Linked DNA regions of Xenopus tropicalis. The protein of the gene in region 1 interacts with the protein of each later gene in a pairwise test. Links are inferred from orthologs where the notes say so. Each region holds a gene or a part of one and is shown in the gene's direction. Other genes may lie near its edges. The genes, in order: myoz1 and flnc.

Evidence for each region.
Region 2: the proteins of myoz1 (region 1) and flnc interact in a two-hybrid assay, tested with the Homo sapiens proteins (2 studies listed by BioGRID and IntAct). The link is inferred for Xenopus tropicalis from reciprocal best matches to the Homo sapiens genes MYOZ1 and FLNC.

What each region holds. Positions count from the first base shown.
Region 1 is NC_030683.2:44,122,719-44,134,299, reverse strand, and holds part of myoz1 (myozenin-1), read left to right. Parts: intron 1-3,275; coding exon 3,276-3,466; intron 3,467-11,581. UniProt on the Homo sapiens protein: Myozenins may serve as intracellular binding proteins involved in linking Z-disk proteins such as alpha-actinin, gamma-filamin, TCAP/telethonin, LDB3/ZASP and localizing calcineurin signaling to the sarcomere.
Region 2 is NC_030679.2:87,429,153-87,441,518, forward strand, and holds the start of flnc (filamin-C), read left to right. Parts: upstream 1-5,697; 5' UTR 5,698-6,276; coding exon 6,277-6,628; intron 6,629-12,366.

The sequences.
Region 1 (11,581 bases):
TTAAATATTGCCCTTTTACATCTTTTACCTTGAGCCACCATTTTGTGTCTGTGTGCTTCCTTTAGAGATCACCTGACAGGAAATAGTGCAGCTCTAACTGTAACAGGAGGAAGTGTGGGAAGTAAAAGACAGAACTGTCCATGAATTGGTTTATGCGACCTTAAATGTATGTGTGCCCTTGATTTGTTTGTATGCACCGTGAATCGGATGATCCCTGAGGGTGGCCATTTTAATATTTAAAATGGCATTTTTTATTTAGCATTAACCAATATTTGTATGCAAAATGGTTTATTTAGATGAAGCAGGGTTTTACATATGAACTGTTTTATGCATGGTTGCTTTTGTGCAGTAACATTGTTTTTGTTGCTTAATTTTACCCGTAGATCTGCTTCTGTAAGTTCACCCTTCTTTTAAATGGTAATATAAATAATGAATTAAAAAAATATTCCAAAAAATTATAATAAACAAAGATTTCAGGAAACTGACTAGAATCCCATGGCATGCTTTGCATTCTGCTATACAGCACTGTGTGTATTAATGGGTCATGTACATCTTTGCAGGTTAAGCAGCATATTCTTTACCTTTTCCTTCCACCCTAGTATTTCTGTGGACCCACAGTCCTCCTATTGTGTTATAAGGAACAACAAGATGCCAGAAGAGTGCATGGGTCAGTGTGACAGGATTCACACCTGAGGCCAGTTGGGCATGGCTGTAAATGAATCCCTCCAAAGAAAATGAAACTTCTTAGGTTTCCTAATAGTCTGTATTGAAACTTTTAACAACAATATACATGTATGGACCTGGGTCTTTCCATAACTTGTACGACCATAGCTTAAAGTGATAAAATACCCCTCTAATGCACTAAGCTTACACAAAATAGTGGCAGAGACATTATCCAGACACATCACAAATTTACATTACATTTGTAAGCCCTCCCCCAACCTCCTGTCACCGTACCTCATTTTACCCCCAGGTTTTTTAGTCTCTCCTGTGAATTCAGCCGATGCATGCACAATAAGCATACAGTGACATCATTGGGGCCTGTGCACATGCGCAGGAATTGGTCAGTTGCGTCAGAAGAGTGCGTGTACATGCACGGTGACATCACTTCTGGATTTCAGCGAAAAATTTCCGGAGTCACGGGTTGCAGTTCCCCCCCATGAGCATCTCCCATCTCTAACTACCTGAATTGACAAAAAGAACATACATTTTTTTAAGGGGGAAATATGGAAATCCATGTGCTGCATTAAAAAATAAACCTCTTTCCAAAATAAAAATGAAAAAGATCATGTGTTTTTTAATGTGAAACATGGATTTAAATTGTCGTTTTAATACAAACATAAATAATTTCTGAGACTGAAAGGAAATCATGATGGTCTGCCTCTGACTTGGGTGGACAATTTCCCTCCCAACATTATCCCTCAATTTGTTCAATTTTAAAGTGATCATGTCCAGCCCTTTGCTTTGCAGAGAATCTGGTTGTACCACCAACCTTGACTCCTCTAGCTTACATTTCTCTAAGCAGGTTGGGACCACGTCTTCTGCCCTCTCTAATACCCCTTCCACTTAACCCTTCCCCATGGAATGTAATAATCCTGCCCACTCATGGCTCCTTAGCGTAACTTGCTGAAAACACTCCTTCTGTTCACTATTATTTGGACATTTTTAGAAAGCAGAAGGACACCCAAGTAAGGGAGGGGTTGAATGACTGTGGCATCCTAAGGGGTGGGGAAAAGGTCACTTCAGATCAGAGGCAGACCATAATGGTTTCAATCTGAGGAATCAAGTATGTCTGGCACATGGCAAGGGTATAGGATCTATTATATGGAATAATTTGGACTTGGGGTGTTCCGGATACAGGTTTATTCTGTAATTTGCATCTCCTATAGATACAACCTTAAGTCTACAAAAAGCATCTAAATATTAAATTAAACCCCAGCAGGATTGATTTGCCACCAATATGCATTTATTTATGCAGCTTAGTTGGAAACAAATACAAGGTACTGTTTTATTATTACAAGGAAAAAGGGGATCATCAAGGTAAAAACTAAGTAAGTTTTATCAGAAAGGTCTATGTAAATGCAGCCATAAGCACACACAGAAACGCTGCACTGACTTCTCTGTCAAAAGATTTCTTGTGTCTGTTTTCCTCTGCTAGAGACATGCAGCTCTCTCCCCTCTCCTGCTCCCTCTCCCACAAGAATGCTAAGAACTCACTCCCTCCCCTTAGGAATGTGGATCTGAGCCAATCAGCAGGAAGCTGAGTCATAGGGGCTGATTTACTAACCCACGAATCCGAATCCGAATGGGAAAAATTCCGATTGGAAAACTAACATTTTGCGAATTTTTCGTCGCCGTTACGACTTTTTCGTAAATTGTTGCGACTTTTTCGTAACCATTACGACTTGCGCGAATTGTCGTGACTTTTTCATAGCCGTTACGATTTGCTTGTATCTTGAAGCGACTTTTTCGTATTGAGCGCTCGTAAAAGCCTCCCATAGGACTCAATGGCACTCTGCAGCTCCAACCTGGCCCAAGAAAAGTCACGATACTGAAGCTTGAATGAATCCGAAACTTTCATACTCGGCGCGAAGGCTACGAAAAAGTCGTGACAATTCGCGCAAGTCGTAACGCTACGAAAAAGTCGCAACTTTTTGCGAAACAGTCGTAACGGCTACGAAAAAGTTGCAACAATTTATGGAAAAAAATCGCAAAATACCGATCATTACGAAAAAAACGCATTCGGACGCCTTCGGACCGTTCGTGGATTAGTAAATCAGCCCCATAGTCTTACACACTAAGTTGCGACAATTTACGAAAAAAATCGCAAAATACCGATCATTACGAAAAAAACGCATTCGGACGCCTTCGGAGCGTTCGTGGATTAGTAAATCAGCCCCATAGTCTTACACACTGAGCATGTACACCAGTCTTGCTCTTGGTGCAGGAGCGAGGCATTATGGGAACTTTCTTTACACAGCTCAGCGTTTTTTCTTCCTGTTTGGCTTCTGATCATCTGAACGGGAAAAATATGGGGAGACCTAAGGGCACTATTGAGACAACTGAAGGTATGCCTGCAGCTTGAGATTAACTCTTTATTAGCCTTTCCTTCTCCTTTAAAATGCACTCTATGAGAGATGGCCTTCCCGTAATTCAAAGCTTTCTGGATAACAGGTTACTGAATAAGGGATGCCATACCTGTATTGTTTATTTATTACAGATTCAAAATATTGTAGTATAAACTATCAAAATGTTGATCATGTTCTTTTTTGTAGCATCAAGAGAAGGAGAGATAGAAATCTCCAAACTCAATTTAGGGAAAAAGATCAGTGTTCCCAGAGATATCATGCTGGAGGAACTATCCTTGCTCAGTAACAAAGGATCGAAGATGTTTAAGCTTCGTCAAAAGAGGGTAGAAAAATTTATCTATGAAAACAACCCTGACGTATTTTCCGACAATTCCTTGGTAAGAAGAATAAATATTCTGTAAGATTTGTTCATCTGATTTTGGTTTATTCAACATTTTTAGCTGTACTAAATGATTCCTTCAAACTAGCTATGTTTTAAAGGGAGCTAACCACCCCCAAAGAATGCACTTTTGCAATTTACATTATTTTTTTCTTTGGGCTTTCGTGAAATTAATGATTTTATACTGCTAATATCATGAATTTTCGCCACAAATACCCCCTGATGCATAGTCCAGCTGGCCAGCTGGCTCCCAATAGTTAAGTTACTAATGTAGGAGGCATCTCCCTATGCTTCATTTGCTTATTTTTATTGCTCCAAGAAGAGTGATAGAACTGAGCAGTGAAGTGCCAGATGTTGCTTTCTGAATGAGTTACTTAAATGGTATTTATTTAAAATGGAAATCTAGAAAAAAAGGTTTTAATTAAGGATAACTGTTATTATAGTATTATTTGGATACTATTTGTATGATATCTTAGAATACAGAGTGAAATCAAATGTTAGGCAGGTTTTCATAGCAGTTATGCAAGGTGTTCCCATGGCAAAAGATAGAGCAGATCCACACTATAAATATTCAGAACATGCACAACAAGAATGTAAACCTCTGAGAAAGTTGTCAGGCAAAACACATCAGGTTGGGACATCAACCCGTTGTGGCATTACAGAATCCACTGCCACGTGTGGTGGTGACATTGAACATGACAGGCATAGGAAAAGCTTTTTAAACATTCATACAAATGTGAGTGCAACTTTATTTAGAATTCTGTTATAAATAAATAAATAAATACAAATTTTCACAATAAATGCTCTTACTGTCCTATAGTCTGGACATGTGGGAGACAGGGGTTATATTATTAAGGCTTGATTTTATCAAGTGTTTTGGAACTACCCATCTTTTATCAAATTGTAGCATGGTGAGACCCCTTATACTCTGGGCAGAGATCCCTAAACCTTTTTACTCATGAGCCACACCCAGATGTAAAAAGTGTTGGTGAGCCACAAAAGCATGACAAAAGTTCCTTAAGGATGCAAAATAAGGGCTGTGATTGGCTATTTAGTAGGCCCACATGGACTACTAGTCTACAGATGCCTCTGCTTGGAGTAAAACTGTGTCTCTGTGCTTCTAAAACTTGCCTCCAAATGGAAATGTAAAAATGAACACCTGCTTTGAGGCCACTGGTTGGGGATCACTGCACAAGATAGTGTTGTACTATCTTGTGAAGTGGGAAGCTGAACCTGAAATGCCCTAAGGGTGTATTCTAAGTTTCTCTTGCTTGTCACACATAGGGTTTCCACCTTCGGAGTGTAGAAAAACAAGGTGGGAGGTGGGGCAGGGCATCATGTAGGTGGGACAGGTTATTATAGAGGCGTGGTTGATTACATCAGGGTCGGCGGTTATGATGTGGCGATTGTCAATTGACCAATCGCCAGGTCAGTCTAAGAGAGCCCTTCCCAGTTTCCATAGTTTTAAACACCGGGCATGAAGTTTTGACCTGGACAGCACTACCAAAAACTAGACTGTCCGGGTCAAAGCTGGGCAGGGGGCAACCCTAGACACACAAGACACTTAAGGGCTGATTCACTAAAGTGCGTTAAAATGAGCGCTATTTATAGCATGTGTTAAAAATTTTATCGCGTCTAATTTTTCACGTCTTAACCCACGATTCACTAAAAGGATATTGCGTTAATTTAGATGCAATGCTGTTTGCGTTATTTAAGTTGTGAAGACTATTTTCGTACGTTATTTGACACAACATGCGCTACTTGTCACGTGCGCTAATTAATGCACGTGCGCTACTTTTCGTGTGCACGCCATATTAGCCATACACAGCATTACGTTCGTAAAACTACTTTTTTTGAAAATGACCATTTCCCTGCAAACTGGAGGCTACATCACTCTAGGGCCAACACATACTTGAATAAATCCCACTGCAAAGTCCATATTTTATTGCCAAAAGCTCATTAACTGTACTTTTCTATAATTACCGCCTGCCCCAAGTAGGTGTTTTCACACAGACTAATGCGATATTTAGCGCGCCTAAGTGTTTGTGAATCATGTGTTAGTATTATTTCTGCGCGCTAATTAACACAATGCGGTACAATTAACGCATGCAGTTGCACGCTATTTAACGCACATGATTTGCAACTTAACGCATGCAATAATACTTTAGTGAATTGCACGTTTTTTTCGCGTCGATTTTAACGCAAAAAAAATGCGATATGCGTTATCGCACTTTAGTGAATCAACCCTATACTGTATAACTGAAAAAATACTGCAGTACATGATTTCTTTGTTTGTTTTTCTCCTGAGCTTTTGAGTCGCTTTGTTTTTGGAGATCTGTGGCAAAATTTGCTGCTCAAAGGTAAATGATGATGTCAGAGATAGTTCTTAATGAAAATCATTCTTGTTACCGGCTACTGAGCAATATTCCAGTATGAATTGGGATAATGGGCTTCCCACTGTCCTACTGCATAAAAATACATTCATTATAGACAGAAGTGACTGAAAGGGGAAGGACAACAGGACTAGACCACTTCCCTTTGGGAACGAATGTTGAAGAAGCGGGTATACTGCCCCTTTAAGTTGACTAATTGCGTCTACTATATTCCCAGGAGGCAGGGACATGGACATGAACAGAGAGCTGAGTTTGGAAGTTGTCTAAGAATAAAGCAACATAACTAGAGGCTGCAAGTCAGGGAGCTCCCTTTCAGGATATTGGAAATAGAAACACATGTGCTGGCCTCAATCACTTGCTTTAGATAACCCGGGGGCCGGAAGATATTCAGCCTTTTCTTTCCATGCCATCAAAGTACTAACATATTAACTTTAGTGAGATCTATGATATCATTATGACTAAATGAATTTGCTGGGAACAGAAATTATGATTTCTTGCAATTTACTGGTGAAAATATAATAAGCCGATGAGAATGATATGGGCTGGTCTAAATATACATTCACTGAGATAATATTAGGGAGAATTAACTTGCATGTTGCAGATAGATGGAATCGCTGTAGGTCTTTATTTTAATTTTTGTATTTTTTTTATTATTTGCATTTGTTCTTTCAATCTCCATCCTGTAACTGATTATGCTACATGGATGTCAGTATCAGTGACTGTGAAAAACAGGCAGCAGAATTATCATGGTGATGGGTTTTATTTGTTATTTTTATTGCTTATTGTTTGAACACTCTCCTGTTCATTCTTCATTCAAGCAAATGTCTGGTTGCAGCGGTCAGTAAGCATAGCAACAAGATAGCAGCATACATGTCAAAATGCTGACATGAGGTTTAGAAAACAGGAGAAAAAGCATGGGGCCACACAAACTAGAGAAGATAAGCTGTCTGCAAGGGATTAATCACTTACCTGATACCCCAGACCAGTCTCCTGTTAGCAGAAAACTGCACCAGCACGGGGTACTTCTGGATGGGCAACACGGGCCCTGGCCAGAAAATGTGCAGTAGAGTAATAAAGCAGGGCTTTTTCTTCAAGTTTACTTTTTCACTCTACTGAGCATGTGCAAAAAATGACTCTGTGGTGCCAGGATCTCTTACCCCCACTGCTGATTTCCTCCACTCCCCCCTTCCCCGAATGACAAGCATGTGCATGTTCCTGCGCGGGCAGGGCTGCGGGGGAAGCAGTGGTGGGAGTGAAGTGCCGCCTGGGTTGCCTAGGGCGCCTGGTTGGCTTGGCCTGCCTCTGGGGGTAATTAAAAAGCTCATAGCAACCACTAAGATATTTGTTTTTAAATAGCTGACCAGTAAATACTACCTGCTGATTGGTTGCTATGGGTTACTAGAACAGTAGGACTTGCCTACCTGGGGCAAAGCAATCAGATCTCTGTTTAGACCTCAAAAGATATCTCAGAAGTCAGTGGAAACATATTTAGTGATATGATCTAGTGAGTAAAACAGACAGAATGAAATAATCTTTCAATGTAGGATTACACTGACATCTGCCCAGTCTGCACAAATAATTCTTTGCTGGTGGGGGTTATAATACCCAATGCATTGTAAAAACGTCCCTGAGTAGCATCTCCTGGAGGCTCTGCTGTTCAGTCATCTCTACTGTACACACCTTAAGAAACCCTACCTTTTCAATTGTGTCATAGGTGGAGGGTGACTTTTTTGTTTGGGGAGGCTAAAGATGGCCCATACACAGGCTGACCTACAGCTAATGTGACACTTAGTGGATTCACTGCTGGTGTAAAAAATTAACCTCCCAACTACCTCTTGCCGTTCCCACTGACTCCCAGGGATACTGTACAAAAGTGCGGGGGGTGCTTTTTTTTTACCCTAAAATGTTTAGGATGTAAAAGTATTCATACGTGCAGTTCTGTGAGGGGATCTGCAAACATTTGTGTTTGTGATCAGTTAGCTTAAAGGGGTAGTTCGCATTCAAATTCACTTTTATTTTTAATGGTTTTTCAGTTATTTAGCTTTTTGTTCAGCAGCTCTCCATTTGGTATTTCAGCAGCTATCTGGTTGCTAGGGTCTTATTTACCCTAGCAACCAGGTAGTGGTTTAAACAAGAGATGGGAATATGAATAGTTAAGGGGCCTACTTGGAAAAATAAGTAATACAAAATTATAATAATAATAATAATAATAAAATTGTAGCCTCACAGAGCAATATTGTTTGGCCCCCATTTGAAATCTGGAAAGAGGCAGAAGAGAGGCAAATTATTCAAAAAAATTCATTAGGAAGACCAATTGCAAAGTTGCTAGGAATAGGTAATTCTATAACATACTAAAGGTTAACTTAAAAGTAAACCACCCCTTTAGATGTGTTTATGTTAGTTTTATAGCAAGAAAGGGTACTGAGTACTGACTCCCCATTATATACAGTGAGACGCAGTCTTTATATACAAAACCAGCACATTATATACAGTGAGACACAGTGGGTACAAATGGCAGATATTCAGGCCCTGGCACTATAACACTGGCACTGATACACAGCACTGTCCCCACTGTAACTAACTAGAAATAAAAAAAACAATGACAAAAAAAAATAGTAAGTGCAAAAAACAACAACAAATATATAAACACACAATGAGCTTTTGCAGGGGAAAGAGTTAACTTTTTTTTACCCTCCATCTGTTAGGGTAGGTGATAGATTATAAATTATTATAGATGTCAGGTCAGGCAAAAAACAATTTAATGTCAGCTAGTGATTCTTTAGAACTGTATAGTACCTGTGTATAGTACCTGTGGGATGAAAACTGCAGCAAAAGCTGGTTCTTAGGTAAAGTTACAGCCTGCAGATTCTTCTTTTCAGTCTTCAGTTCTGTACTGCTTCCAGTGTGCAAAATCTCCCGATCCCTGTGTGCATCTGTGCTCTGATTGGTTAATTTTACTGTCTGTCAAGAAAGCTGTGCTCTGATTGGACAATCCACAAGAAGAAAGATCCAATCGGAGCACAGCAAAACGGGCTTGCAAGAACAGATTTCCAGGACAGTGCAGAAACGGAGTAAGGTTTTTTTTTTTTGTTTTGTTTTTTTTTAATGTGCCAAGCAGGTTTGGGGAGGCTTAGCCTACCCTAGCCTTATGGAAAATCCGCCTATGAATTGTGTCAACTTATCCGTGTTCACCACTTTTGAGTGAAGGGGAGTCCTGTACTTAAAGGAAAGGCCCCCTTGCTCCAAATGCAGGGGTAAACAATTAGTAAGGCAAGTGATTCTTGATAGTAGACATTGTGGGTGACATAGAAGTACAACTTTACTGTATATTATAGCTTTACATGGAAACAGCAGCCTGATGTATATAAACATCACACAATACAGAAATTTTTTTGGGTCCTTAGTTGTCCTTTTAGTGCAGGAATCCCCCAAATTTTAAACCCGTGAACAACATTCAAATGGAAAAAGCTTTGTAGAGCAACACAAGCATGACAAAAGTTCCTGGAGGTGCCAATGAGAGCTATAATTGGCTATTTGATGGTCCCTATGTTGACTGGAAGCCTACAGAAGGCTCTGTTTGGCAATTACACTGGTTTTTATGCAATCAAAGCTTGCCTCTTAACCAGAAATTCAAAAATAAGCACCTGCTTTGAGGCCACTGGGACCAACATCCAAAGGGTTGGCAAGCAACATGTTGCTCACAAGCCACTGGTTGGGGATCACTGTTTTAGGGAATGGACCACAGGACGTTTTGCCCAAGCTAAATCTCCTATAGATCGGGTAACTGAACACCTTGGAGATGCCTCTGGAAATTGCATTCTCCTACAATACAAATGTTTTATTGGCAGTGATTCACACTGACATCAATGAAAAGGTATCTTTGGACAAAACATCCTATGTACAACACCCTCAGAGGTAAGTGAGCTGTCATGTTTGATGGTGATGGCCAGCTCTCTGCTCTGTACATATGAAATGCCATTCACAGAGTGATGAGTGATGTAGTCTTTGTCTTTACTTTACGAAAACCTGTATTTGGCATCTCTCATACTTGGTGGAATCATAATTTTATAGATACATTATTGGTCAGTATTGAAAATTGGTTTGCATTTTACTAAATGTTGCTTTATTTATCTTTTCTACATAGAGGGCAGGGGTGTAGCTACAGAAATTGCAGGGTTTGCCTTCATGTCCCCATAAATATCATTAATTTAACCACTCATCATAATAATAGGGATAAATATTGCATTAAAAAAGCCAATTTACAATACAAAATGAAGGTGATAACGGATTACAGGGGAACATACAAAACAGATTTCATAATAGGTGATTGCAAAAAAGTAGGGCCACTCCAGTAACATTCCAGTCAGGGACTCCATGACAATTGGGGATGCAGAAAGATGCAAAGGTCTAATTCACAGGTTGAGAAGGGACAGGACTTGCTGAGGAGTGGGTAAGGTTTGAGTGGATGGTGTGCATGTTCTGGGCATAATGGAGTGTGCTGAGGCAGATTGGCGACATGGCAAGTGTAATTTAGTGTAATTTAGTTGGCTATTTCCTTTATTAAAGCCCTGTTCTCCTTAGTAGGCCCCACCACTCTGAGGGCCCAGGTGAAGAGAGGACTGAGGACCCCTAGAGAGGAGAGTCCTACTAACTAAGTAGTATGGAGCCCCATGATCCCTGGTACTAGGGCTATGCATTTACAGAAAAATAGGGATAACATTTTTTCAGGTTAAAATTTTTTCAGTTAATGTCTACAGGACTCCTGCATACAAGTTGGGCACTTTATACCCAAAAAGACTGAAATCCCTAACTATATAAATTATAGGGTTCCTGTGGTGTTTCAGTATGTCCAGCAACAATCTCTAGTGATGACAATTTTGTGCTGATCAATTAGCACCTTTTAGTGTTACAGCCCACTGATGACAACAAACCATCCAGTCAGACAACTACACACAAGAATACAGAAAAACAACTCTTTATTAGTTCCATTTTAGCAGGGTAAATAATTTCAGTTTGCTGATCTGTACATATGTTTTCCCTACACTTTTCACTCCCCTCCTATTAGCATGTTCTGCTGTGCTGTTCCAGCCTTCCATCAGTCAGGGTTATATAATCCCAGTGAGTCTGATGGCTTTTACTTCTTATATTTCTGTCTATATTTAGCTGTTGGACAGATGGTCTAGGAGCCAGTTTACAGATTGTCTGTGCTTGCAAAGCCTACGTTTAAACTGTCAATAGCAAAATACTAGTTGTTTGGGGGGTTAAAATTCACAAGCCCCTTCAGTAGCATTAGCAGTCATTCCAACTGCAGATTAACTTTGCTCATGAACAGAATGATACCTGAGCCTAATATCAATATGGCATATACCACTAAATAAAAGCAGCTCTGTTTAAATCTAATATAGGTAGGTTGTGTGCAAGAATAAAGCTAAAATAAAAGCCCAAAAACATTGCTAAAAATTACTCTCTTCGGGTATAATCTGCAGATTTCACATAATCATATATACACCCCATGGTAGTATGTAATTTGTGTATATATATATATATATGTTTAATACAGGATAATTTTACATCTAGCAGACTATACATTATAATTTTTCAGTGCAATTTTTAAGGGTGTATTTGTGTTTTTTTATGTTTTATGCATGCTTGTTTTGATAGATTAAGCTGATAAAACCATATGAAATATAGAATAAACTCTATATGAAATTACTGCCTCA
Region 2 (12,366 bases), on another chromosome or scaffold:
GAAATTGCAGGATAAAATACTGCCTGATCAAATATGAACTTTGCATTAGTTATTTGACATAGAGAAATCATACTTTTTTCATTTTTAATCTTACAAGGACCATATCACCAGTAGTGATATGTTAATGACTTTAAAGGACCACAAACAATAAACAAGTTAAGATAATATTATTTATAATCATTTGAGCATTAAAAAAAAAAAAAAACTCTTTGTGGGAGGATGGCAGTCAGCATGTGTCATTAACAATACAGAAGGTACAGGAATGCAGGATTTTATATCACTGATACAGTCACTTTGCGGATCTAGTTTCATCAATTCACAAGTCAGAACCAGCAGAAAAGGGGAACAAATAGAAAATTTCTGAATTACCGTATTTTTGGCTTCTTCGTCTTGGCGAAAATTTTTTACTAGCGAAAAGTCTACTTCTCCCTTTGGTAAATCGCGAATGCACTGCAAATTGTCTTTTTTTGGTGAATTGTCACCAGAAAAAGACAATTCCCCCTTTAGTGAATGTGCCCCAAAATATCTGGCAAACACATGAAGCAGTGTCCAGGTCCTCAACCTACAATAAAAATTAGAATCATATAAGGCTGAATGGATCGCTTTCTACTCCCATTCTTTATTCTGAACAGAAACAATCATAGAACATGTACTGTTTCAGACCTCATAACTAGTCATTTTAATGTAGCTTTCTTATTCAACTGGGACTTGACATTTTGTTAAAGGCCTCTGTTTCCAAATATACTAATGCTACTGGTGGAAGCCCTGTGGAGATCCCAATTCCCTTGGTAGCAGATGCAAAGCATTCCTAGACAGTGATCAGGGTTAACTCCTTCCTTCCCTTAGGCTGTGATTCACTCACTCACTGTGACTCATTGCTCTGACTCTCATGCATCTCATAGCAAAAGTACATCACACATATATATATATAGTCCACAAGATAAGGAGGAGCAAACATATGATGCACTAAGCAGAATTTAGAAATGGATTTGGATTATTGTTATTTTTGGGCTAAAATGTATAATCTAGTGATGTGCAGGCTCACCCAAAACCTACAAGTTGGGTGGGTTAGGGCAGGCATCAACACATCCTTTGTGGGTGACAAGCAGGTTCAGGACAAACTCCATTTGCCCAATCCAAGCAGGATGTATTTATAGACTAATACCTGGCTACAGATTGGGTAGTCCTATTTCATTTCAATAATGGCCCATTGCAGCTTTTGCACCAGACCTGCACCTACAAAGCCCCTTTATTTTTATCTCCAGTTCATGGACAGATACCCTGACATTTTTCCAGAGAATTTGCTGGTACAAGTCAGAATTTATAGCTCCATACATGATGGCAAGCCGCCCTAGTACAACAGAGACAACAAAGCAAGCCCAAACATGATATCGCCATCAACTTATTTCACAGATAGGATAAGGTTATCATGCCGGAATGCAGTGTTTGCCAAACAACACTTTTTAAGCAAGCCAAAAATTTTGTTTTGGCCCTATCCATCCACAGGCTTCATAGCACCTGAGAAAGTATGGGGCAAATCCACATGACTCAAACGTTGTGCACTGCTTGCAGACTCAAGAACACTGACATTTGCCAATGCAAGAGAGGGCTTTAGTTATTTGGATATTAGCCCGGGTTCTCCAAGATCTCCTGGAAGAACCTTGCTGTTGGTGATATCAAACACTCCTTGGGAGGGTAACAAAGGTTTTAAGTTGCCTCTATTTGTAAACAATCTGTCTGACAGTGGACTGGTTGAGTCCAAACTATTTACAGCATCAATAACTATTTTTATGAAGTCTTCATAAATCACCCGGGTTGGAGCCATGAAAGACTTCCACAAACCTGTGCAAAGATCAGACTTAGAAAACCCAAATTTCTGATGATTTCAGCATATTCTTATATAGTCATCAAGTTCAACCCTTCCAAGTAAACCCAGCACATACAACCTATACTTACCAATCTATACTATCACATACATAAACTATATATACAACCATTAATACTAACTGTAGATATTAGTATTACAATAGCCTTGGATACTATGCTTGTACAAGAACTCATCCAGGCCCTTCTTAAAGGCATTAACAGAATCTGCCATTACCACATCTCTAGGAAGGGCATTCCACAATCTCACTGCCCTCACCGTGAAAAACCACCTACGCTGCTTCAAATGGAAACTCAGTTCCTCTAATCTAAAGGAGTGGCCTCTGGTGCGTTGGGGAAAAAGAACATCCCCTATCTGCCTATAATCCACTCTAATGTACAGAGTAATCATGTCCCCTCGCAAGTGCCTCTTTTCCAGAGAAAACAACCCCAACCTCGACAGTCTAACCTCATAGCTTAAATCTTCCATCCCCTTTACCAGTTTAGTTGCACATCTTAAGGACTGGAGCCCAAAACTGCACTGCATACTCAAGGTGAGGCCTTACCAGGGACCTATAAAGAGGCAAAATTATGTTTTCATCCCTTGAGTCAATGCCCTTTTTTATACAAGACAGCGCTTTATTTGCTTTAGTAGCCACAGAATGACACTGCCTGGAAATAGACAACTTGTTATCTACAAAAATCCTTCTCCATTAAGGATACCCCCAACAAACTACCATTCAGTAGATAGTTTGCGTTTATACTATGTCTACAAAAGTGCATAACTTTGCACTTGTCCACATTGAACCTCATTTTCCAGTTTGCTGCCCAGTTTTTCCAATTTTGTTAAATCACTCTGCAAAGTGGCAGCATCCTGCATGGAACTTATAGTTTATTGTCAGCCGCCATTTTGTGAACCCTGTTATTAAGGTAAGCTTTGTATCACCCCAAAATCTTATACACTTGCCATCTAGGTGATATCTAAGAAGTAATTGTAATTAAAAATCTGAGCTGTCAATAATATATTGCCTGTCCCGCCTCTATGCCTGATGCCTGAGTCTGATTTTTAAATACATTTATAATAGGTATGGATGATTTAATTAAAAAAAGAATTTTGGTTTCATGTTTATTTTTGAAAGGATTTGTATTACAGTTTGTTATGTGTGGGTGACAGGTCCTGTTTAAAGGAGTTGTGCACCTTTGAATTAGCTTTTAGTATGATGTAGGGAGTAGTATGATATAGGGAGTAATATTTTGAGGCACATTGCAACTGGTATTAATTTTTTATTACTTGCAGTTTTTTAGTTATTTCATTTTTTGTTCAGCAGTACCCCAAATTGGTTTCAGCAGCTATCTGGTTGCTAGGGTCCAAATTACCTTAGCAACCAGGGAGTGGTTTGAATGAGAGACAGGTATATAAATAAGGAGCTGGATATAAAAATAAGTTCTAAAAAAATAACAATAACAGTAAAACTGTAGCTCCACAAAGCAATGTTATTTTGGCTGCTGGGGTCAGTGACCCCCAGTTGAAAGCTGCCAAGAGTTATGCAAATAATTAAGGCAAATAATTCAAAAATTATACAAAATAAATAATGAAAATCAGTTGAAAAGTTGCTTAAAATCGACCATTCTATAACATACTAAAAGTTATCTTAAAGGTGACCCATCACTTCAAAGGGGTAGTTCATGATTAAGTTAACTTTTACTATTTTCATTCCAGCTCTCAAATGGGGGTCACTGACCCTGGCAGCCAAAAAAATTTCTCTGTGCGGTTTCAAAGTTATAGTTACACACTACCCACATTATGCTAAAATTTAAGATACAGGTGAACTACACCTCAGGGACGGAACTGGGGGTAGGCAGAAGAGGCAGCTGCCTAGGGCGCAGTGATTGGGGGCGCAAGGCAGCCTCTCCTGCCTACCCCTAGTCCGCTCTCTTTAGTCATTGCCCCCGCCGCTTGTCCTTAGGCAGTGGGGGCAATGATCCATCGAATCGCAAAGCCAACCCCGCCCCCCCCAGGTGTTCAACTGCACGCCAAAGGGGGGGGGGCGAATGAGGAAGGGGCGAGGTGGCCGACTGGGTTGCCTAGGGCGCCTGGTCGGCTTGGACCGCCCCTGCTTCACCTTTAACATCTTAGCACACCCAGCCACAGTGGAGGGCTCAATAATGCTTGCATCTACACTAGCCAATACATACAAATGACAGGGCCTGATTTGCACATGGTGTGCCCCTAGGCCACTTGCACCCCTGACCCCTGAACACTCACACTCTCCTCTGCCCTCCTGCCCCCCTGTACGTGTACCCTCCCCTGCACCATCTCCTTTACTGATTGGCTGCACTAGGGACTGGGGTGGGCAGGAGATGCAAACAGCTGTAAAAAATTTCCATCCAGTCTCCAGTACAGATGCAGCCAGCAGGCACCATGCCACCCTAGGCTTGGGCCCAAGGCCGGAACTAGGTGTAGGCAGAAGAGGCAGCTGCCTAGGGCCCGCCCCTGCTTGGCCCTTTGTAGCCTGCCCACAAATCCAGGCCTGATGATTGAGGGCACATTAATGTGATGTTGTGGGGGCCTGAAATATATTTGCAGGAAGGCCCTAGAAAGTAAAGTTACACCACAGCACACACCATGGTCAATTTTATTGGGAGCCAATTAGCCTCCAATCAACCCACACACACGTGAGGAGAACATGCAACATCCTTGGAAGAATGGAAAAGCAGAATAGTTTCCCCAATTACTCCTGTTTCAATTTAAATGTTAGTTTTTGCAGGGATTCCTATAGTAACGTTATACCATAGTTTATATTTTCCCGAAGCGGTATCTTACATGTGGTTAAGGATACTTTTCCTGCTACTAAAGGTGGCCATACACAGGCTGATTTCAGCTGCCAATAGTGGTCCTTTAGACTGATTAGGCAGCTTATCTGCTCGTGTATGGGCACCACCTACAGGCCTCCCTGCCCGACATCTGGCCTGAATGGGTTTGATTTTCCCATTGGATCAAGGACCACATTGGCTAGTTGATGCCGTGCCCGAACTGACGGCACCTATGCCCTAGGGCCAAACGATTGAATTAGCCCAATATTGCCCACCTGTAGGTGGGCATATTGGGAGAAGATATGCTCACTTGGCGACCTCGCCAAACGAGCAGATCTTACCGTGTATGGCCACCTTTACACACATATATTTATCTATATTTTTTTTCTGTTGAGTTTGTATAAATTGATATAAGAAATATGTCTGTGGTTATGGTGACATGTGGTATGGGTGATTCATAATCACCCAGAGCCATTCTTTTTATTCCTGCAGGCTAAAAGCCTAGAGGCTGAGTTTGCTGATTTTCTCATTGCAACAAGGTTTCCTGTGCACTTCTGCGTGTCTGTCAGAGGGTTAGCCCTGCTGTCTACCGAATGAGTTAATGCAGAAGTTATCTTTTTTGGGGGGTAGAAGATGATTGATTAGGTGGGTGAGGGTGGTGGTCTCCCCTTGCATTACATCTGTTGCTTTTGTTAACTTGTGTTGTAAGATCCCTTCCTTCTACCCCCTCTCCCCTTCCCCTCACAGCCAGACCTCCCTGACATGAGGTGTCTAAAAATACAGAGATGTTACAAGCAGTGAGAGCATGGGCAGCCTAAGCCAATCCGAGCCCCCGCTATCCATAGCACCCAATCGTGCCCCTGCTCACTATCTCACTGGGGATTAGGAAAATACTCATCTTAGTTGTATATGGTCATAGCAAAAGCATTCCAGGGAGTCCATGCCTCTGACGTGGGGGGTGGGAGGGGGAGAGGAGCCCAAAGAGGGTGGGGGCATCGGTTTTCTTTAAAACCAACTCCATCCAGGACTCCGAACTTTCACACAAGTTGCCAAAGACCTGCAGACTCACCTCTATCTCTCTCTCTTCCCTCCTTTCTGCTGTGGGATCTGAAGCCCCAGGACTGAGCTGCCTCTCTGCTTTATCTCTTTCATTCCTGTTTCCATCTCCCTCTCTAACACAAACAACAGACCTGACCTGCTGCATTTTTATCCCGTGCCCCCTCCCAGTCACCCCCAAAAAGGACTCACAGAAAGGAAACAGAAGACAGGAAGAAAAAGGATCATTGCGAAGGGAATTTGGGCAAACTCTCTCCTCCCTCGCAGCTCAGAGCCAGGACACAGGGGACTGAGGAAGCCCCTGCAAGGGTTAATCGAACCGTAGCCAAAAAACATCTCACTGTTTCCAAGCGAAGGACAAATAATAAGGGAACTAATTTGATTGTTGAGGTCAGTTCCAGCAGCTTGAACTTGATTTCACAGATTTTGGGGTTTGGATCCAGCAGTTGCCTGCTCACTTTTGCTGTGATTTTCTCCACCCTTTTTTGCTTCGTTAGTTGATCCCCCATATAAAAAGCGAAAAGCTCCCGAACCAAAGTCATCATGAGCAGCAACGATTATTACGACCAGCAGCAGTTTTACCAGGGCGAAGAGGCAGAGGAGATGCCCGCTACAGAGAAGGACTTGGCAGAAGATGCCCCTTGGAAGAAGATCCAGCAGAACACCTTCACCAGGTGGTGTAATGAGCATCTCAAGTGCATGAACAAGCGCATTGGGGACCTGCAGAAGGACCTGAGTGATGGCCTGAAGCTCATAGGCCTGCTGGAGGTGCTCAGTCAGAAGAAGATGTACAGAAAGTACCATTCCAGACCCAACTTTCGGCAGATGAAACTGGAGAACGTGTCAGTGGCTCTGGAATTCCTGGATCGGGAGCACATCAAGCTGGTGTCTATAGGTCAGTTCTTGGGGGGTTTCTAACACAAGGGTGGGCAGGTATAAGTAAATATATATCACACGTGCTAAGGTGATGCATGGCAAATGTATTTTACTTTTATATGATTGATTTGATTTTGTCTATCTAGCTATAGCATCAAAGTTCTGCTCCCGGAGGTAATTTAGTATAATACCTTGTGAGGTACTTAGGGCAGAACTGCCTGAGCTAACGACTTTGTAACGTTTAAGAATGAAGTTGGGGGCCACTAAGGACTTTATTAGCTATCTGTAAGTCAGATATGGGGGCCCTCCCACACTGTAGCTCATGTGTAATACACTCCAGACATTTACTTTTTGATCTCAGAATTAGCTCTTTATATAGGGAATAGTGTAACCCCCTACTGTAAAATAGAAGCATATTAGATGTCAATAAAGAGTTCCATGACTATATATATATAGATGGGTGACTTCTTCTACAGGGGGTATATTCTTTTTTATAATACACAAGTTTCAGTGAGTCATGTGACACAAATTACATCACTAAGCACCAATTATAACTGATAATGTCACTGTCTATAAGCATAATCTATAAGACACTGTTTATAAGCATGTAATTTACAGGATATTAATTAATAATAATTAATATAAACTACAGAAATAATTTTATAATTTTTCTTTATCTGTAATTTAAAGTCAGTGGAACATGTAGTTGTATTCAGCAGTAACTAATGAATTACTACAAGAGTGTGCAGCATTCTTACAGAGTCAGTGCTGTAACCTGTAACCTTGAAGCACCACTCTTAAGTGAAACTGTGAGCGGCTCATGATGACAGCAGAAGAGGGGGTTTTTAAATGGCACTATGCTCACATAGTAGAGAGTTCATGCAATGGAGGAAAGTTTTCATTCTGTTTGTTTTTTCAAACAGGACAATATACCTCCTGATAAAACTTATAAAGATTTTAGAAATAACCACAGAGCCCTGTGTCCTAAATAAAAGCATAGTGTATAGAACAATAAAAGCACAAGTCAGCACTTATAAGCTTTACCATGAAATGAGATAATGTATTCAAGAATATGGAGCAACATCTGGAGAATGTTTTTTTTTCCTATTGATCCAGCTCATTGAATACATTATTTCACTTACAGTAAGTGCTGAACCAAAACTTTAACAAGCAAATATATATACAGGTATATATATATATATAAACCCCTGTTGTTAAATATAATGCTATTACAAGTCATCAAGGAGTTCCATGACCATACAAAAATACAAGGCAGAAATTCATGGCTTTTGTGTACTAACAGAAGAAGTTTGCCTGCACACAAATCCATGCTAGCTCAAAATGCTTCTCGGTGGGTTCACTAGCATGGGGAACAAAGCTGAGCAAAATGGTGCAGGCTTGAAGTATAGGGGTTTAGTGATCAGCCTCTGATGTGGAAATCTTTTACTTGAGACCCTGATTTCATTCAATTGCCTGGTGACCCGGCATACTTTGTGCACCTATAATGTCTGCCTTGATGGAATATTCTTTGGAACAGAAATGGTTTTGGTTGAAGATACAACTATAGGGGGTCTTAATTTCAAACTTCAGAATGTTAATGTGCATCGAATTCTGTAGTTGAGTAGTGTATGCCTACCATAAATTATTTCACAAGTAAAAAAATTCTCAGTATTGATTAACTACACACAGAATATCTAAAAACACTTTCAGTGGGTATAATAAAAAAAGCTATGATTTCTCCCAAATAGGACAGTAATATATACGTAGGCTTATTATGGTAAGAGCTCTTTTTCTGTATAAAAGAAGCACATCTTTAGCAGGGGTGTTTGAAACTTTTTTCACTCAAGCCCTCCTGATTTCTCTGGACCATTATTGAGTCTGACTTCATATAACTATTTGTCTTCATGCATTTAAAAGCACAGTATGCACCCTGTTATAGGCTCAAGAGTATTCAAGACAGCAAGTAGGTCCAAGCTTGTCCAAGTCACTGCTAGAGGCTCCCATAGGTTGGCAGACCTTCCAGCTTTGGAGCTTATAAAATGAATAACTTCATAAACAATTATAGCAGCCAATGGTACTTAACAGTACTTGTTCTTGTGCATGAGAACAACTTGTTTCACACATTACTGTCCCTTTAGATGACCTTTTAGAGAAATCTTGTTTTTAAAAAAAGATTCTCTAATGTGAAAAGAAGGGTCATTGACAGGGAAAATTATCTCATCTGTATATTAAGTAACAGTGGAGTCTTCTTACAAAGGTCGCAATGAGACCATACCAAATTAAACCTGATAACACATACTTTATTGGCATGGCTGAATAACGGAAGTTGAATGAAATATATGGCTCTGCAGTCACCTGCTGTTCTAAATAAAAAAAAAATTGATGTGTTATCACAAGACAAAATAGGCCGAATAATATTTTAAAGCAAGCTTAGTGCATGGATTGATTTTTATACTAAGTTAAACCCCATATAGTATATTAATTGGCAGTGCCTAATGTACCAGAGAAAACTAGATTATCATTTTAGCATTTTCAGTTAACTACCTGTATACCACTGTATATAATTTTTTAGTTGTTTTTACTAAGGGCAGTCATGTATTTCTCCACATCCTTTGGTCTGGCCATATTTACAGAAAAAAACACAGAGAAGTGGCTGGAAATAACTTAAGTTATAGTATTAAGTCCCAAGCCCTGGGTGCAATCATAACTTCTACACTTCCTGTGTGACTTATGGGAGATGCAGTTCACAACAGCAAGATTTTAATTTACATCTGCGTGTTGTGTAATAGAAAGGAGCAATTGCAATGATATTTCAGTATCCTATAGTCTGTGTAACATTTTGTATTTTTAAATTATTTAACTTTATATCTGATTGCTTATAGCCTAAAATGTAACATTTTTTTAGACTTTTTGTAATTCCTCTGTTATTTTATCTTACAGCTGGTTATTCAAACCCAAGCATGTTTATTAGGGTCAGTTCAGATGATTAAGAATTGATAAGGAAAGGAATAGGAAACAAGCATTAGTTTATTTAAAAAATGTAATCTAAGGCTTCTTTTCATGTTTGCTTTAACTTGTGTTTCTGGTGCAGAGCATTTTTATGCATTCCACCACATGGTAATTCAAGTGTTAAGTGATCTCAGTCTGCCCTGTGGGTCAAGGCCAAGTTTTTCTGTTTAGTCTTGGACTCTACTCCTGTAGGTACTGAACGAAAGGGCAGAGGAAAATCAATAAACCCATATGTTCCCATACAGTATAATGCACAAAAACTAAAAGCACAGCACTGCTTAAAGGAACAGTAACACCAAAAAATGAAAGTGTTTTAAAGTAATTGAAATATAATGTACTGTTGCCCTGCACTGGTAAAACTGGGGTGTTTGCTTCAGGAACACTACTATAGTTTATATAAATAAGCTGCTGTGTATCCATTGGGGCAGCCATTGAAGCTGGAAAAAAGGAGAAAAGGCACAGGTTACAAAGCAGATAACGGATAAGACACCATTGTATTCTACAGGGTTTATCTGTTAGCTGCTATATAACCTGTGCCTTTTCTACTTTTTAATGGCTGCCCCCATGGCTACACACCAGGGTTTATATAAACTCTAGTAATGTTTCTGAAGCAAACACAAAACTTTTACCAGTGCAGGGCAGCAGTACAGTATAGTTTAATTTCTTTGAAATATATACATTTTTTGGTGTTACTGTTCCTTTAAGTACAGTTGCAGGTAGCAATCAGTCAGCAATTAGCTTTGAACAGGCCACTACAAGTTAGAAAATCAAAGCAAAGATCTGATTGGTTGCTATGGGTAAATGCACTTGTGAAATTTATCACTATATATTCATAAATCAGCCATGCAAATACAATGTGAAACACCCATGGACAGAGTGGTGTCTCGTTTCGTCACACACAGTGGTAACTACAATGTGCCGTGCATCCTCTACAAAAAAAACTTTGGAGTAGCCTGGCGTGCACAGCAACCTCTACCCCACATTACCTGCCTACCTGCTGGTGTCCCACACTCCCCACCCATTTGTGCCACGCCAGGTAGGAACGTGGCTGGGGAGGAGGATTTATAATAACTTTAATTAGTCCCCCAAGGCCCCCCTCTCCCACAGGCCCCCCTGCAACCACAGGGTCTGCTTCCTCAGTCTATAGTTACACCAGTGAATACACACAGGATAAACACATAACAGCTTTTGTCATAAAATCCCATAGTTGCAGACAATAGAAGTTGCCGTTTCAATACAGCTGGAGGCTGTAGGGTAGAGAGCTCTGATATAAAGTGCTACTGATACCATCTTGCCCTGCTGTACACACTGTACTGCAGTGATCAGCCTTTGATGTGGAAATCCTATTCCCACACCCCTGACCCATTCCCAGAAAAGGGATAAATCTGTGGAGCGCAATAGGATTTCTTCAGGGATGTCACCCCTGCTTGCACCCTGCCAAAGACAGAGATCTGCAGAGGTTTTATTGCATGCAGTCCTGCTTCCCCTCGGGTTGGGTGGAACCGAGGATGATTAATACTGGACTTAACTTATATAGCTGTACATTAAATGTTCTCACAACTTTAATTTAATTACAGTTTCAAAGTTATGTGAAATTTGTATCACACCTGCTATGAGATAGTCCAGCACTTGAGGCAATGGTGAGAATCAAACTGAACTGCTAATGCAAACCAGAAGGAACCTTGTTTTTTCCCCCATTTACTGAGTGACTATAAATAATATGTTTATTATTTTGTTAAGCATGGTTTATAAATTATAGCTGTACATAAAAAAAAAAAATAAGAACTTGGGCATTAAGAGGACAGCCATTTATGCCACAGCTTTTTGTACGCAAATATGAGTTTTGCAGCCAACTTGTGATCTAGCATTGATAATGTTTTGGCAATAGGGTATTGCAGGAATGATGTTACCAAAAGGTAAATGCCCACTTATAGGAATATTAAACAACTCCTCCCCATGTGGTAAAAGGCACTAAGTTTGCCCAGGAGCAGTAACCATTAGCAACCAGTAGTTTGCTTTTAAACAGGTGACCAGTAAATTCTGCCTGCTAATTGGTTTTTAAGGTTCCATGGAACCTTATAGGTATAGATGGAGCTGACTTTGTTTTGACATCACAGCATGGCTGTTCTTATATCAATGGCAAAAGATATCATAATAATCCATGTAAACAGAGAGAGCCATCTGAAAATGCCTACATGAAGTTTGCTCCATCTGCAACTCCTTCTGTAACACAAAGCAGCTGGAACTCTCTGCTGCTGAGAAAAGCAGTACAACAAAAGTTCTTGCCATTAATGTGCTGCCAGATAGCACACAGTAGTAGGAATTCATTCATCGCAGCGCAAACAACAAACTACACATTTCTCTCGCTACAATTATCTTTCTGCTCTATATTATTATGCATGGGTTTATACATACATAAATGTAAGTGTACATACTTTTATAAATAAGGAATAAGGATTTTGCACAAGAAATATAGATTTTATTTTGTATTATTGATTATTTATATACAAAGCCAATGCATTTATGTTTCACTTTTTAAATATTGTTTATCATTCACATTAGTCCCTGCCCCAGTGGAGCTTACATTGTAAGGTCCCTGTTCCTATTACTATATTACTAGTACTTCTATACTGAGAGTCAGTGACATTGTGCGCTCTTCAAGCGCACTGTTCTGCTATCATGAAAAAGCACCACTGCCAAAAAAATCAGGAGAAAAATATATCTACTGTGAATAAATTAGGTTAAAAT